Linked DNA regions of Astyanax mexicanus. The protein of the gene in region 1 binds, or shares a complex with, the protein of each later gene. Links are inferred from orthologs where the notes say so. Each region holds a gene or a part of one and is shown in the gene's direction. Other genes may lie near its edges.

Region 1 (7,391 bases):
GTATGTAGACAAGGTTGTTGTTTAATGTGTTTAATGTAAGTGTGATAGACACTGTGGTTTGTGGTCAGTGTGTAGTTTGGGTTTTTTATGTGAACTAAAGTGATATTTTACATCAAACCGACTCCTGCCTTCAGGTGCTTTTACAGAGTGTTATATTACAGTATATTACAGCGTATCGTGTTACAGAGTGCGCAGAACAGCACGTTTGAAGTGTTTTATAAGGATTAATGGAGCCTGAGGCCGTCTGTAATCAGTCTAATCTGTGTGTGTTTAATCTTCAGCCCTGTGTCTAACAGAGAGGAGATGATGAAAGCGTCTGATTGGCTGATGGCACTGCTGCTGCTACAAAGGAGGAGCTCACCTACAAAGGTGTGAAGAGACAGTGAGGATGACTATAAGAAGATGATGAGGACGATGAAGCTGGGGCTCTGGTGCGCCCTCTGCTGGGCTTAACTATGAGTTAATTGAGTGTTTTTTATTTATTTTTTTAATGCTTGTTGTGACAGTAGGTTCTGGTTCTGTGGTTCTGGTACTGTAGGTGTATTAGGAGTGTTCAGGTGGGAATGGACTGATGTAAAACCCACCATGAGCTCCACCTTCTCCCACCCATACTGCCACCTCAGCCAGAGCAGCCTGCACTGCGCCATGTCTCCGCCTGGTGGCCACCCTGATAACCGCCTCCACGCCCAGCTTCGCTCCCTCCCCCTGCTGCTGTACCCAGGAAGGGTCCAGGCCGGACTCTACAACGGCCCCTACCTGCCCTACCTGGGGCCCCTGTACGAGTGTCCCTTCGAACCCGCCTTCATCCAGAAGCGAAACGAGCGCGAGCGGCAGCGGGTGAAGTGCGTCAACCAGGGTTATGCCAAGCTCCGAGACCACCTGCCGGGCGGGACCGCCGACAAGCGCATGAGCAAAGTAGAGACACTGAGGGCCGCCATTCGCTACATCAAGCACCTGCAGAGGCTGGTGGAGGAGCGGGAGGAGGGCCGGGGTCACGACAGGTCAGACATCGCAGAAGGTAGCGACGGAGAAGCTCCACCCACAATCTCTTCGCTTGAGCTCCAAAGCAAGGCCACTGGGAGCTAGATGTGTGAACTGGGCTTGGATTCGGCCCTCACTGAACTTTAGTCCAAATATTTACAATAAACTTTTAATAAACCCCCAAGCACACACCTGAGCTGTACAGGTGTTCACCAGTACATGTGAATTTCAATTGTTACAGCGAGGTAAAACACACATGGGCAATGTAACACCTGTACTACATTGGTATACACTTGAACCTAGTTGAACAACACACAAAGAAGAAGCTATCAATAACAATAATGTGGAGAAGCTCCACCTACAAGCCCTTTAAGGCCACTGGAAGCTATATATGTAATCTGGGCTTGGATTCGGCCCTCATTGAATTTCAGAACAAACCGAGTTCAACATTTTTCAACAACATTTGCGGGCATAATCAACAACCCTACAAACTCTAATGCCGTTTTCACACCTGTGCTTAGTTTTTTATGGTCAGAATCAGTTGATGAGTTTGTTTATTTGGACGTTTTTTCCCCCTTTGGTTTGGTTTGGTTTCACACAGGCATAAAACCTAAACTCACTAAAATATGCACCAATAAACCATGCAAGGACATCATCTTCTCTGATTGGTCAAAGCTGTCTGTGCGGGAGTTAAAAAGTAAATATAGTGAGAAGATCTGTACATCTGTATATCTGTGCAGTGTAAAGCTGCTTTAAGACTGAACACGGAAACACTCCTTTTTCAAACTGTGTTTTCAAATCACAGCTGCACAGCAATGAACACAGCACAGACCTTGTGCGTAAACAGCATGGAGCAGCAGAGACAGCGTTTGTTCGTAGCTGTGGTAATTAGCGTTATCTGGCTAATATATCAGACCTTCTCTAGCAGGTCTTGATCACACCTGCTCGGTCAAACCGCATTAAGGATACAAATACTGCTGGTGTGAAAACGCTTTAAGAAATGTTATTAATACAGTAACACCTGAATCAGGAAGCATACCTGAATCAAGCAATTTACCTGAGCCAGGTAACACACATGAGCAATGTCAAAAATAAATAAATAAGCAGTGTTGTGCTAAAGTCTGGCTCTCCTTGGTGATGTGCAGAAGCGTCACGCAGCAGTATGGGTACTATAGATTACGGTGCTGGTGATTCTGTATCTACTGTAACTGTAGATTAACCCTTATTTATAAACAGAAATAAAATAATTCTGAAATGAATAAAAAAATAATAAAGACTAACTGGATTAATTATACAGAATACAATTAAGAAACACACAAACCTTCAGATGTGAAAACACCTTCTCGTTTCTGGACGTCCGTAGTTGTTCAGAGTTCTGTGGGACCATTGCTGTAGTGCACTATTGAAGACTGTGGGGCTGTGAGGGTGTTGGGGGTGTATATGAACATGAACAGGTGCTGTAAAGACAGCAGATGGAAGCTCATCACCGCAGGAACTCTCTGGATGTGTTATTGGATGTGACTTTACACCCTGTATCTGTTTTTATTTTTGTCTGTTTTAGTGTTTTTTATAATAAAGTAATATAAAAAAAATGTAATAAATAATAAATAATCTAATAAATAATGTAATAAAAACTCACCTGATTGTGAGAAATATGATGCATAAAGCAACAGTCTTTCTGAACCTGAATATGTGCACTACCTTAATATTAAAATGAATGAGTTTGATGGAAAATCTACTTCTTTATTTTTGACGTTTACAAATTATTGTAGCTAACAGGAAATAGAATCGTATACCTATTAACCAACACTGAAGATACAGAGCTAATGTAAGTTAGCTAGCAGGTAATAGAAGTTTATACCTATTAATCAGCACTGAAGTTTTTAAGGTAATGTAGCTAACAAATAGTAGAAGCTAATTAGCATTGAAGTTATGAAACTAATGTAGCTAACAGAAGCATATACCTACTAATTAGCACTGAAGCTACAAAGCTAATGTAGCTAACAAGTAATAGAAATGTATACCTATTAATTAGCATTAAGCTACAGAGTTAATGTAGCTAACAGGTAATAGAAGCATATAATAATCACTTAGTACTGAAGCTACGAAGTTAATGTAGCTAGCTAACAGGTAATATAAGCTTATACCTATTAATTAGCACTAACGCTATGAAGCTAATGTAGCTAACAGGTAAAAGAAGTATATACATACTAATTAGCACAAAAGTTATGAAGCTAATGTAGCTAACAGGTAATATAAGCTTCCTATACCTATTGATTAGCATTGGAGTTATGAAGCTAGTGTAGCTAACCAGTAATTAGCACTAAAGCTACAAACTTAATGTAGTTAACAAATAATAGAAGCCTGCACCTACTATTTAGCACTAAAGCTGTAAAGCTAATATAGCTAACAAATAATATAACTAATACCTACTAATTAGCACTAAAGCTGTAAAGCTAATATAGTTAACAAGAAATAAAAGCTTATACATATCAATTAGCACTGGAGTTAAGAAGCTGATGTTTCTAACAGGTAATATAAGCTTTTACCTACAAATTAGCACTGAAATTATGAGGCTAATGTTGCTTACAAATAATATAAGTGCATACCTATTAATTACTACAAAAGGGCAAAGACAACTCATCCAGGAGATCCCTAGAACAATCTAAAGGTCTCACTTGCCTCAGTTAAGGTCAGTTGTAATGATTTAATAATAAGAAACCCTGTGATGGGCAGGGGGTGCTTTGAAACCAGGAATTCTGCTTTGTTCATATGCTGCTGTAATTTTTTTTATAAATTGAGTAGCTTCCAGCCTCAGTGTTGTAGGCTGTAAGAGCAAGTTACTTTTGTTCTGTGTTGCTGAGGTGTTGCTGTGTTTTTACCTCGTGCTACAGTACAGTGTTCACGCTTTTTTGTACAGGATTTTACTGTTAGTGTTGAATTTACTTTATTTTCTTTAAGCTGTTTTTGTGATTGAACCTCTATAAATTGAGAATGCCATGTTTCTATAAACCTGTTTAACTTTTATATTTTAATTAATTGAGTCAAAAAAGGTTTTTTTTAATCCAGTGCGTAGGAGTCCAGTATTAATATGTTCTCCACTATGTTGGACCCGGTATATAATAGATTATAGGGGTCCCACTGCAGACCCCCTGAGTAAGTGGTGAAGCTAAACTAAGTCCTCAGTGTTGGTATGTGTGTGTGTGTGTGTGTGTGTGTCCAGTCCTGACAGGGTCGGCAGTGACCCGGCTGAGCGGCTGGGTTGGGTTCAGGCTGTAAGGTGACACCACAGGTCATTCACTTACTGATCCATCAAAGCTTCTTCTATCAGCATTTATAACTAATCTAATACTGTAATAAAACAATAACCTACACAGATTAAATACATTCTTCATTATGACCAACTATACAGACATCAAACTGTCCACACAAACACACACACACTGTGATCCTCCCCCCTTAATGAGTGACATGCATTGTCTATATTTGTTCTCTGAGAAGGACAGCTGCTCTACTGACCAACACTTCCAGAGAGAGAGAGAGAGAGAGAGAGAGAGAGAGAGAGAAAGAGAGAAAGAGAGAGAGAAAGACCGGTAGAGTCCAGCTGGGCAGATTGAATTGGGGAAGTAAAGGAGAGGAAGAAAGGTTACAACAAAATAGAGTGGAATAAACAAAAAAATCAGGTAAGTGTTACAGTCTGTGTTTTCCCCAGTTACAGCACAGTTAACAGAGTTAAATATATTTGATATGTTATATACATGTTAACAGCTTTGTTAATTGATATGATTTATTTGGGTTAATTGCTGTATTCTAGTTGGGTTAATTGGGGTACTATAGGTGGGTTATCTGGTGCGTTCTACTTAGGTTAATTGATCTGTTACAGTTGTGTCTATTGGTGTGTTATAACTGTGTTAAATGCTGTGTTATAGTTGGGTTAATTGGTGTGTTATATACATGTTAATAGCTATGTTAATTGATGTGATTTAGTTTAGTTAACTGGGGTGTTATAGATAGTTTAATTGATGTGTTATAGTTGGGTTAATTGTTGTGTTATAGCTTTGACAATTTTCTTGGGTTAATAACTGTGTTAATTGCTGTGTTATAGTTGGGTTAATTTAAGTGTTTTTCTTGGGTTAATTGGTGTGTTATAACTGTGTTAATTGCTGTGTTATAGTTGGGTTAATTTAAGTGTTTTTCTTGGGTTAATTGGTGTGTTAACTATAGTTATATTTATTGATGTGATATAATGAGATGGATTGTCTATATTATATGGGTTAATTTAGGGGTACATTAGATGGGTTAATTTGTGTGTTATAACTGTGTTAAATGCTGTGTTATAGTTGGGTTTATTTATATGTTATAGCTATGCTAATTGCTGTGTTCTACTTGGGTTGATTGATGTGTTACAGTTGGGTTAATTTGTGAGTTAAAACTGTGTTTAATGCTGTGCTATTTGGGTTTACTCTTGTGTTATAGCTATATTCATTACTGTTTATAGTTGGGTTTATTTATATGTTATAACTATGCTAATTGCTGTGTTTTTCTTTGGGATAATTGCTGTGTTTTTTCTTCGGTTAATGGGTGTGTTATAATTGTTAATTGATGTGTTATAGATGAGTTAATTGGTGTGTTTAGTTGGGTTAATTGCTGTGTCGGGTCTCAAGAGGTTAAAGCAGGTGTGATAAATCAAGGTGTATTATAGTGTGTGTTATAGTAGGTGTGTTAAATCAGGGTGTATTATACTGTGTGTTATAGCAGGTGTGATGAATCAGGGTGTATTATACTGTGTGTTATAGCAGGTGTGATAAATCAGGGTGTTATATATTAGTGTGTGTTATGGTCTGTGTATTATTAGTATGTTTTATAGTGTGTGTTATTGCAGGTGTGATGAATCAGGGTGTATTATAGTGTGTGTTATAGCAGGTGTGGTAAATCAGGGTATGTTATAGTGTGTGTTATAGCAGGTGTGATGAATGAGGGTGTATTATAGTGTGTGTTATAGCAGGTGTGATAAATCAAGGTGTTATATATTAGTGTGTGTTATGGTCTGTGTATTATTAGTATGTTTTATAGTGTGTGTTATAGCAGGTGTGATGAATCAGGGTGTATTATAGTGTGTGTTATAGCAGGTGTGATAAATCAGGGTGTTATATATTAGTGTGTGTTATAGCAGGTGTGATGAATGAGGGTGTATTATAGTGTGTGTTATAGCAGGTGTGATAAATCAGGGTGTGTTATAGTGTGTGTTATAGCAGGTGTGATGAATCAGGGTGTATTATAGTGTGTGTTATAGCAGGTGTGATAAATCAGGGTGTGTTATAGTGTGTGTTATAGCAGGTGTGATGAATCAGGGTGTATTATACTGTGTGTTATAGCAGGTGTGATGAATAAGGGTGTATTATACTGTGTGTTATAGCAGGTGTGATAAATCAGGGTGTTATATATTAGTGTGTGTTATGGTCTGTGTATTATTAGTATGTTTTATAGTGTGCGTTATAGCAGGTGTGGTAAATCAGGGTGTATTATAGTGTGTGTTATAGCAGGTGTGATAAATCAGGGTGTGTTATAGTGTGTGTTATAGCAGGTGTGATGAATCAGGGTATGTTATAGTGTGTGTTATAGCAGGTGTGATGAATGAGGGTGTATTATAGTGTGTGTTATAGCAGGTGTGATGAATCAGGGTGTGTTATAGTGTGTGTTATAGCAGGTGTGATGAATCAGGGTGTATTATACTGTGTGTTATAGCAGGTGTGATGAATCAGGGTGTATTATAGTGTGTGTTATAGCAGGTGTGATGAATCAGGGTATGTTATAGTGTGTGTTATAGCAGGTGTGATGAATGAGGGTGTATTATAGTGTGTGTTATAGCAGGTGTGATGAATCAGGGTGTGTTATAGTGTGTGTTATAGCAGGTGTGATGAATCAGGGTGTATTATACTGTGTGTTATAGCAGGTGTGATGAATCAGGGTGTATTATAGTGTGTGTTATAGCAGGTGTGATGAATCAGGGTATGTTATAGTGTGTGTTATAGCAGGTGTGATGAATGAGGGTGTATTAAAGTGTGTGTTATAGCAGGTGTGGTAAATCAGGGTATGTTATAGTGTGTGTTATAGCAGGTGTGATGAATGAGGGTGTATTATAGTGTGTGTTATAGTAGGTGTGATAAATCAGGTGTATTATACTGTGTGTTATAGCAGGTGTGATAAATCAGGGTGTATTATAGTGTGTGTTATAGCAGGTGTGATGAATCAGGGTGTGTTATAGTGTGTGTTATAGCAGGTGTGATGAATCAGGGTGTATTATACTGTGTGTTATAGCAGGTGTGATGAATCAGGGTGTATTATAGTGTGTGTTATAGCAGGTGTGATGAATCAGGGTATGTTATAGTGTGTGTTATAGCAGGTGTGAT
Region 2 (8,010 bases), on another chromosome or scaffold:
GTTTATTTCTTCTTCCGTTATCTCCTGAGTTAATTTTTCATTTTGTTTAGTTCCTATTGATGGTAAGTCCAAAGACATCAAAAATTGTAATGTGTCTTCTAATTCAGCTGCTGAGGGTTGGGCATATAACTTTGTGTAGTACTTTTCAAAAGAATGTTGTATGTCTTCCATTTTGTCACACATTTTATTAGTCTGGGGGTCCTTTACTTTTTGTATAAATCTCTCTGCTTGTTGTTTACGCAATCTCCATGCCAATATTTTTTTGAATTTTGGGCCATTCTCATAATAATTTTGTTTAATTAGTTTCAATTTCTGCTCTATTTTATTTTCATACAATTCATTTAAATGTTGCTTTGTATTTCGAATCTGATCTAAAACACTAGCTTCATTATGTATCATGTGTTTACTTTCCAGGTGTTTTAATGTTTCGGTTAAATCTCTAATTTCTTTTCCTCTTTCCTTCTGTTTTTGAGCTGTCCACATTATAAGTTTACCTCTAATTACAGCTTTTGCAGCATCCCACAATATGCTGGGGCTTACTGTTTCATTATTGTTATTAATCATGTAGTCTTCAAATTCTTTCTTTATATATTTTACACACTGAGGGTCATTCAGAACACTGGTGTTAAGCCTCCATGCAGTCTCCTTGGGCATATTGTCCAAATGTAATGTTAAATATACACCTGCATGGTCAGAGATGTCTCTTATCCCTATTTCACAGTTCAGAATCCTATGTCTGTCTGAGTTAAACATGAAAAAATAATCAATCCTTGTATAAACGGAATGCGCATGGGAAAAGAAAGTGAAATGTTTATCAAGTGGATGAAGATCCCTCCACATATCTACCAAACCCGATTCTTTAAGTAATTTATTAATGTATTTTGCATCAGGGTTTATAGTCTTTATTCTACTTGAGGAGTCTAAGGAGGGGTGTAAATGAATATTCCAGTCCCCACCACATATCAGCACCCCTGATGTTTCTAACAATATCATATTAAAAATCTTCTTAATCAGTTTTTTATCGCTACCTGGTGGTCTGTATACATTCAGCAATGTAATTTCTTTGTGATCAAGAAGTCCCTTCACCATTATGTAACGTCCCTCTTTATCGATAATCTGTGATGAAAACTGGAAATTAATTCTGTTTGGGATAAGTATAGCTACCCCTCTTGTGTTTTTCTTTTCAAAAGAAGAATAATATAGGTTTTTAAATCCCATTTTTCGCAACTTCTCATGTTCAATATTCGAAAGATGTGTCTCCTGCCAAAAAATTATATCATGTTTTTCTTTTTTCATTTTAGATATTGCCTTACTTCGTTTGATAGGATTATGTAACCCGTTCACATTAAGAGTAATTATTTTATATTTTTGATGATGCATTTCCCTTGTCAAAGAATGAAAAACTCTTTACCACAGTATTTAAATATCACTAGATGCTTTGAACAATGAATCTGCCTGAAACATAAAAGGAAACTTAACTGACTAATACACAAGTTCAACAAAAGTGACTTCCATTTCTGAAGTATGAACTCAACTTCTGAATTAGGAAGGGAAGCCCTACGACCTAGAGGGGCCCTTCCCTGTGCGATCTGGTATTTCTGGCCGTTCGGCATCAGAACAGTGCACATAAAACGCAAACATCAATCACCAGACATACGGTCAGTTTCAAAGTTTGGGCTTATAACAGGAAATTCTCACGTAAGTTTTATATTTCAGTGTCCAAAGTGTTCAAGTTACTAAATAAGTGCTTTTACCAGATGTTATGGGAAGCTATCCAGTTCTTTAAATGTTTGCGGGCTCTCGTGTAGTATCGGCATGGTGGCGGAATCCCTTCAGCTTCTCCTGAATATGCCTAAATCGAGCCTCGCGTTGCCTGCGTGATGTTCCTCCCGCTGGTTCCCATGAGAGATCTTTCATTCTCAACGAGTGTGCGCCTCGTTCAGTGACCTCAGCTTCAAGAGAGTCTATTCCTCTTTTCTTCAGATCCTCTCTCGCCTCCGCAGCGCTGTTGTAAACAATTGGTCCGGTGTCCAAAAAGACCCGGAGTTTCGCTGGGTAAATGGTCTGGAAACGGAGCCCCCTTTCTTTAAGCGCTTTCCTGATTGTGGAAAAGGCTTTTCTTTTTCCCAGTATTTCAGACGGGTAGTCTTGCTCAAAAAACACCCTTCTGCCACTATGGTGTATCTCCTTCTTTTTCCAAGCGGAGCGGAGCACCAGCTCTTTGGTTTTATACTCCTGGAAACAGACCACTATAGACCTCGGGTTAGAGCCTTGCGGTGGTTTGGGTCCGAGAGACCGGTGGGAGCGCTGTATACCGAGGGTAGCGTCGGGGAGGGACAACTCTGTTGTGATAAACTTTTCCAGAAATACCTCCATATTCTCTCCCTCGGCTCCCTCCACAATCCCATGTATGCGTATATTATTTCTGCGTGAGCGCGCCTCTAGGTCTGTTAGCTGAGCTTGAATGCTCTCCTGGAGCTCCAAAGTGTGGGAGAGCACCTGCTTAGCTTCGGTGCTCCACTCCTCCATTTCGGCTACTCGCTGCTCCGTCTCCTCGACTCTACCAGTTATTTCTTTCAGGTCAGATCTGATAGAGTTCAGCTTCTGATTGACTTCTTCTCTAAAGCCCACCAGTTCCTTTTTCAACATAAGCACAGTTTCGCCGAGTTCTTTTTTCACGTCCGAACGGATCTCCTTTATCTCAGTAATGATGTTAGCTTGGATAGCTTCCATAGCTTGATACTCGGTGAGATTGCTAGCGTCGTCGCTGGCGTTTTCACTTACATTCGAGGGTTTGTCGTCCGTTTTGGGGTTTTGATCCAAATTTCCTCTTGTCTTTCTCTTGTGCCCCCCTTTCATGGCATAAAAAGAAAAAAAAATCTACTTGAATCCTCAGTATTTGTTGAAGGGGGAGTAAGACCGTCTGGGAGCCTGAAACTTAAGCTGCTGCTAGTGTCGGCGCCATACCGGAAGTCATAAGTAAAAGGTTTTAGACTGGCCGGGTCAATCTCAAGACTTAACCCTTTAGATCATGCATTTTTCTTGCTAAAGAGAAGACTAAAGGGAGAAACCTCCCCAAAACTAACCCACCTAAACTTGCTACAATGAAAGAAGAATGCACATGGTTAGTGATGTAACTGCAAACAAAGAATTACAACTAAATTCATTAAAAAAAGGGCTATCTTCTGAACTGTCAGATATCAGATCCAGATGGAAATATCTGGGGGAAAAAAATCTATTTTTTTTATCTTTTGTCTTATGTACATCTTTTAATGTTAAACCCAAATGTTTTCAGACTATAGCAGAAGTGCGATTGTGGTTTATGTCTAGGCTGGGGCAGCATCACTGAAGGATATACACAGTCTTATCCTGAAGCTGCTTCAGTGTTGTACGTGTTGTGCTTTAGGCTGTTGTGATGTTGAAAGGTAAGCTGTCTCCCTGGTCTGAGATTCCGTTTGGACGGAAGGAGCTATTCTTCAGAGATTATCCTGATGTAGTCACTTGTCCCTCAGCTGCTCATTATCAGAATACTGTGCCTTTTGGCCTTTTTATTTTCCTGTCATGCATACATTCACCATGTTATGGCAACCTGCACGACAGGGTGGACAATTGTAGTAAACCTATCGCTTAGGTTGCAGTTGTTGAACTGTTATTTATGACCTTGTTTTGTTTCAAAGATATGTTTTAATTTCCTTTGATCGTTTTCATCTATGTGAAATTTTAGCATGACAGGACTAAATTTATCTCAGGTAAGTATGAAGATATTCAGTGTAATATTTTAGAAAGTGTTTTCAGTCCCTTTAAAATAAAACAGTATGGATTTCTAGTAATACAGTCTTGAGGACACCAGATGGTGCTATGAAACAAGATTAAAACAAAGCCTCGCAATTCGATTAGGATTAAAAGAACCAATAACCATTCCATTACAGTTTTTCTGAATTGTTTACACACATTTTCTGAAAACATGCCTCATATTCACAGAACTCTACACACAAATCCAACAAACACGCACACAATGGGCAAAACCCTTCAGTTCTCCTGCAAAATAAAACTTTACATTCAAAAGTGTTATCTCTTTACAAAAGGGTATTTTGTGTTCAGATGACACACACACACACACACCATCATATAAAAAGACAAGCTAAAAAAGCAGTTGAACACTGATGTTCTCAGTGTAAAACACTATTCTCCATTTATCATAATGACTTTTTGTTCAGTTTTACACTTACTACAGACAGTAAATACATAAGTGCGTTGTAAAATATTTAATAATATCGTTTTTATACTCAGAACACAGAAATATACAGTAAAAATACATTTTATTTTTCCAACCAAAACAATGTACACAGTGTACCATGCAACCACCACAAAGATGCAGTGGTTTACATACAAAACAACAGAAGAATTTATTGTATAATGTAAAACTATGCTGCATCCTGTCTTCTGTTTCGGTCTGCTAAAGCTTAAGTTGCTGATTGTAAACCTGTGTGAAGGGTGTTTGCCCATGTGACCAGTCAGTGTGCATAGTAGGGTAATTAACTTTAAAGTTTTGAATAACAGTGTGTTCCTTGTGAAAACAAGAGATTTTATTCAGGAAAATTGTGCCAAATGCAGAAAATTGTGTATGTGTTTTGAAAAAGTGTGTTTTTTATAACTGCAATTTGAGTGTAAATCAGGAATTGTGCTTGTAGTTTAGCAGAACTGGTTCAAGCAGTAGGTGTGTAAGTTACATGTTGTGGTCATAGTGTCTCAAGTACCAGAAATTGTGTGTAAACAATCCAGAAAAACTGTAAAATATACCTGAATTTGCTTCCAGTTTGAATCACTGGACTGGATGGGGATATAATTTGGGGTGATGATGTGTTTTCTCTTCATTTTAATCTTTTATTTATTATAATACTTATTGTTCATGATGTTGTATTAGAAAGGAACTGGAATATTCTTTATTATACGAAATATCTAAAAAAAACACACACACACATTTTAAGTTCTAAAACAAAGAAAAGTAAGAGAGAGAGAGTGCGAGAGCGGTAGAGATAGAGACAGTGGTAAAAGTAGGGAGAGAGACTGGTAAAGAGAGAGTGAGAAATAGAGTGGTAGGGAGAGTGAGGTAGAGAGATAGTAGAGAGAGAGTGAGTAAGAGAGGTAGAGAGAGATAGAGAAAGAGAGAGTGAGTAAGAGAGGTAGAGAGAGATGGAGAAAGAGAGAGAGTGAGTGGTAGAGTGAGAGAGGTAGAGATAGAGAGAGTGGTAGAGATAGAGAGGTGTAAAGAGAGAGAGAGGATGCGGATCTATCGCTCGGCTCTCTCTCTCTCGGCGCTGGGTCTCTGTGCTCCCCGGGCTCCGGGTTTTTAATGGTTCCGCGGCGGATCAGACCCGCTCTCTCCCGGCTCCAGCGCTGCTCCTGCGGGCGGATGCTCGCTCCGCTCCCCCCGAATGTGCGCGCTCCCTCCGCCTCCTCCGCTCAGCCCCTCGCCCGCCGCCCTGCGCGCGCAGATACATGGTCCAAGTGAAAATGTCCAAATCGGCCGCAGACCCGCTGCCCGGTACCGAGACCGGCTCCCAGTCCCACTATTTTCAGGTAGGTGTAGCCGGGGCCGCTCGCTTGTACTACCGCCGCGGGGAGGGTCTCTCCAGCTCTGGGTTGGCTGGGGCTGGAGCTCCGGGGCAGCAGCAGCGTCTCCTACCGGGGGCTGGATCCACAGCCGCGGCGTGCAGACGCTGCCAGACCCGCCGTTACCGCACCGCGGCCCTTTACGGGCGCAGGGATAGGAGAAGCGGCCCTATAGCCCGGTTTAACCCGGTGAAGCTCACTTTAGCTAAGGGCTGAGATTTCCTCCGCAGCTCTGAGGCCTCCATCACTGCTGTGCTGGGAATTAGCTGACTAGCTTGTGTAGCTTATCTGTGTGTGTGTAGGTACGAGAGTGTGTGTTTGTGTTTATACACGAAAAAACACTTCACAATTGTCCTCTTTCAGAAGAAAAAACAGCTCCATCCATCTTCACCTCGTTTATCACTTAAAGTTCTTCACCTGTAAGCATCATCATCAGCAGCAGCAGCACCCTCCTTCTACACCATCCACACCAGTCAGCAGGAGGCTCCACCGCTCCCAGTAAACACACAGGCTGAAGTTTGGCTGCAGGGAGGCTTTATCTGCAGGTTCCTCCTGTGAAGCTCGACCTAAACCAGTGTTCCTCCACCCTGGTCCCAGTGCCTCCTTGCCCTGCACATATTCATCACTGTCCCTGATCCCAACACACCTGATTCAACCAGTCTGGGCCCAGTTTCCCAAAAGCATCTTAGCATTAAAAACATTTTAACAGAAAGAGAAAGAGCTCAGTGTAAAGCTTGCTCAACCTTTTGGGAAAACCGCCCCAGATCTTTTATAAGCCTTTTTAAAGCAGCAGTGGTGTGTAAAAGCAGGGCAACAAGGCACCAGGACCAAGATCAGGCATGTGAATGTCTCATAATAAATGAGGTTTCTAGGTTTTAGTTAAGCCAGACCCACAGGGGTTAAACCCTGACTGTTTACATTAATTTATTAAAGCAGGTTATTAGAAAACTGTTTTGTAGGATTCATCTGTGAAACGTGAGATGCTAGGAAATGGCTTTATTTAATTAATTCTGTTGATCCAAATGACTATTTTAATGTGATTTTCAAAAAAGAATTGCATATAGATATGCTGCCAGGTGGATCTTATTAGATAGGCTTGTGTTTTTGTCAAAAAAAACTCTTTTATGTTGCAGTGATTTTCATATTTTGCACTTTTCCTTAACTGAAATATAAGGTTATGCTGGCACTGTGTTAAATATACAGTAAAAACTGCTTGTAAGGTTGAAGGGAGCTGCTTGCTATAAAAAATATATATATAGCTAAAGTTTACTACTGTCCTACTAAAAGTGACTTTTTGGTGCAAACAGAAAGAATGATGAATTATAGTAATACCAGACAGGTTACGTTGGTGTGAGATTTAATTCCCAGGTGCACAGGTGGTTTGTGTGGGAAAAAAAATGGTTTTCGAAGGGATGGCACAATTTGTGAAATAATTGTAATAGCAGCATAAAAACTTTATTTCACCGTCTTATACAAATTCAACCAGCAGTTTACTGACAAACAAAATACATATATATATAATATATAAAAATATATATATATTATATATGATATATAAAAATGTATATATAAAAATATATTGTCAGTGGCTATTGTTAAGACATGTACTGTGCCTTCATAAATTTTACTGTTCCAGTCTTCATATTTGTTATAGGCCTATTTCACCTGCATTTAGGGTTTTAGGCCTCAAATCTTGTACAAATTACCAAATTTTGAAAAACACATGTTTTTGTGAAGATGTTTCCCATTTTCTGAGATGTAATTTGTATTTTTTTATGTAGTTGCCGAGAAAGTTGCCAAAACGCAAAAGCCGCTTTAAACGCTCGGATGGCAGCACCTCCTCTGACACCACGTCCAGCTTCATTAAGCGCCAGGTAAGCGCCATCTGTTCATCTGCTGTACCCCTGTGATATGGGGAGGATGTTAGGATAAAATTGAGAAGGATGGTATTCATAATATTAAGCAGAAACCAGAAGTACTTTCACCATCATCTATCTCATCATCACCATCAAAAAATTATATACAGCTCTGGAGAAAAATAAGAGACCGCATAAAATTAATGATGAGTTTCTTTAATTTGACCAAATTGAAAAATTCTGGAATATAATCAAGAGGAAGATGGATAATCAGAAGCCATCAAACCAAGCTCAACTGCTTGAATTTTTGCATCAGGAGTGGCATAAACTTATCAGACTCAGATTCATTTTGTGTTGAGTTTTAAATCCTGAACACTAGAGGGCAGTGTTGACATTAGCTTTCACACATCCACTGTTCTGGTTGTATAAAAGCTAATTTCTTTTCAAAAGAGTGTAATTGTATTCTTATACCATGATTTAATCATTATACCAGGGGCATAAAATGCTCTTAAAGTGACAGTAATATTATTTATCACCATTT

What was found. Proteins that work in one complex are often made in the same cells at the same time.
Region 2: cacna1sa (region 1) and cacnb3a share a complex: the UniProt entries of both Homo sapiens proteins name them as parts of the calcium channel complex. The link is inferred for Astyanax mexicanus from reciprocal best matches to the Homo sapiens genes CACNA1S and CACNB3.

The regions. Positions count from the first base shown.
Region 1 is NC_064431.1:32,300,814-32,308,204, reverse strand, and holds the start of cacna1sa (calcium channel, voltage-dependent, L type, alpha 1S subunit, a), read left to right. Parts: upstream 1-4,216; 5' UTR 4,217-4,664; intron 4,665-7,391. Other genes in the region: achaete-scute homolog 5-like, read left to right, coding at 586-1,086. UniProt on the Homo sapiens protein: Pore-forming, alpha-1S subunit of the voltage-gated calcium channel that gives rise to L-type calcium currents in skeletal muscle.
Region 2 is NC_064420.1:16,644,497-16,652,506, forward strand, and holds the start of cacnb3a (voltage-dependent L-type calcium channel subunit beta-3a), read left to right. Parts: upstream 1-4,932; 5' UTR 4,933-5,499; coding exon 5,500-5,580; intron 5,581-7,394; coding exon 7,395-7,487; intron 7,488-8,010. UniProt on the Homo sapiens protein: Regulatory subunit of the voltage-gated calcium channel that gives rise to L-type calcium currents. Increases CACNA1B peak calcium current and shifts the voltage dependencies of channel activation and inactivation.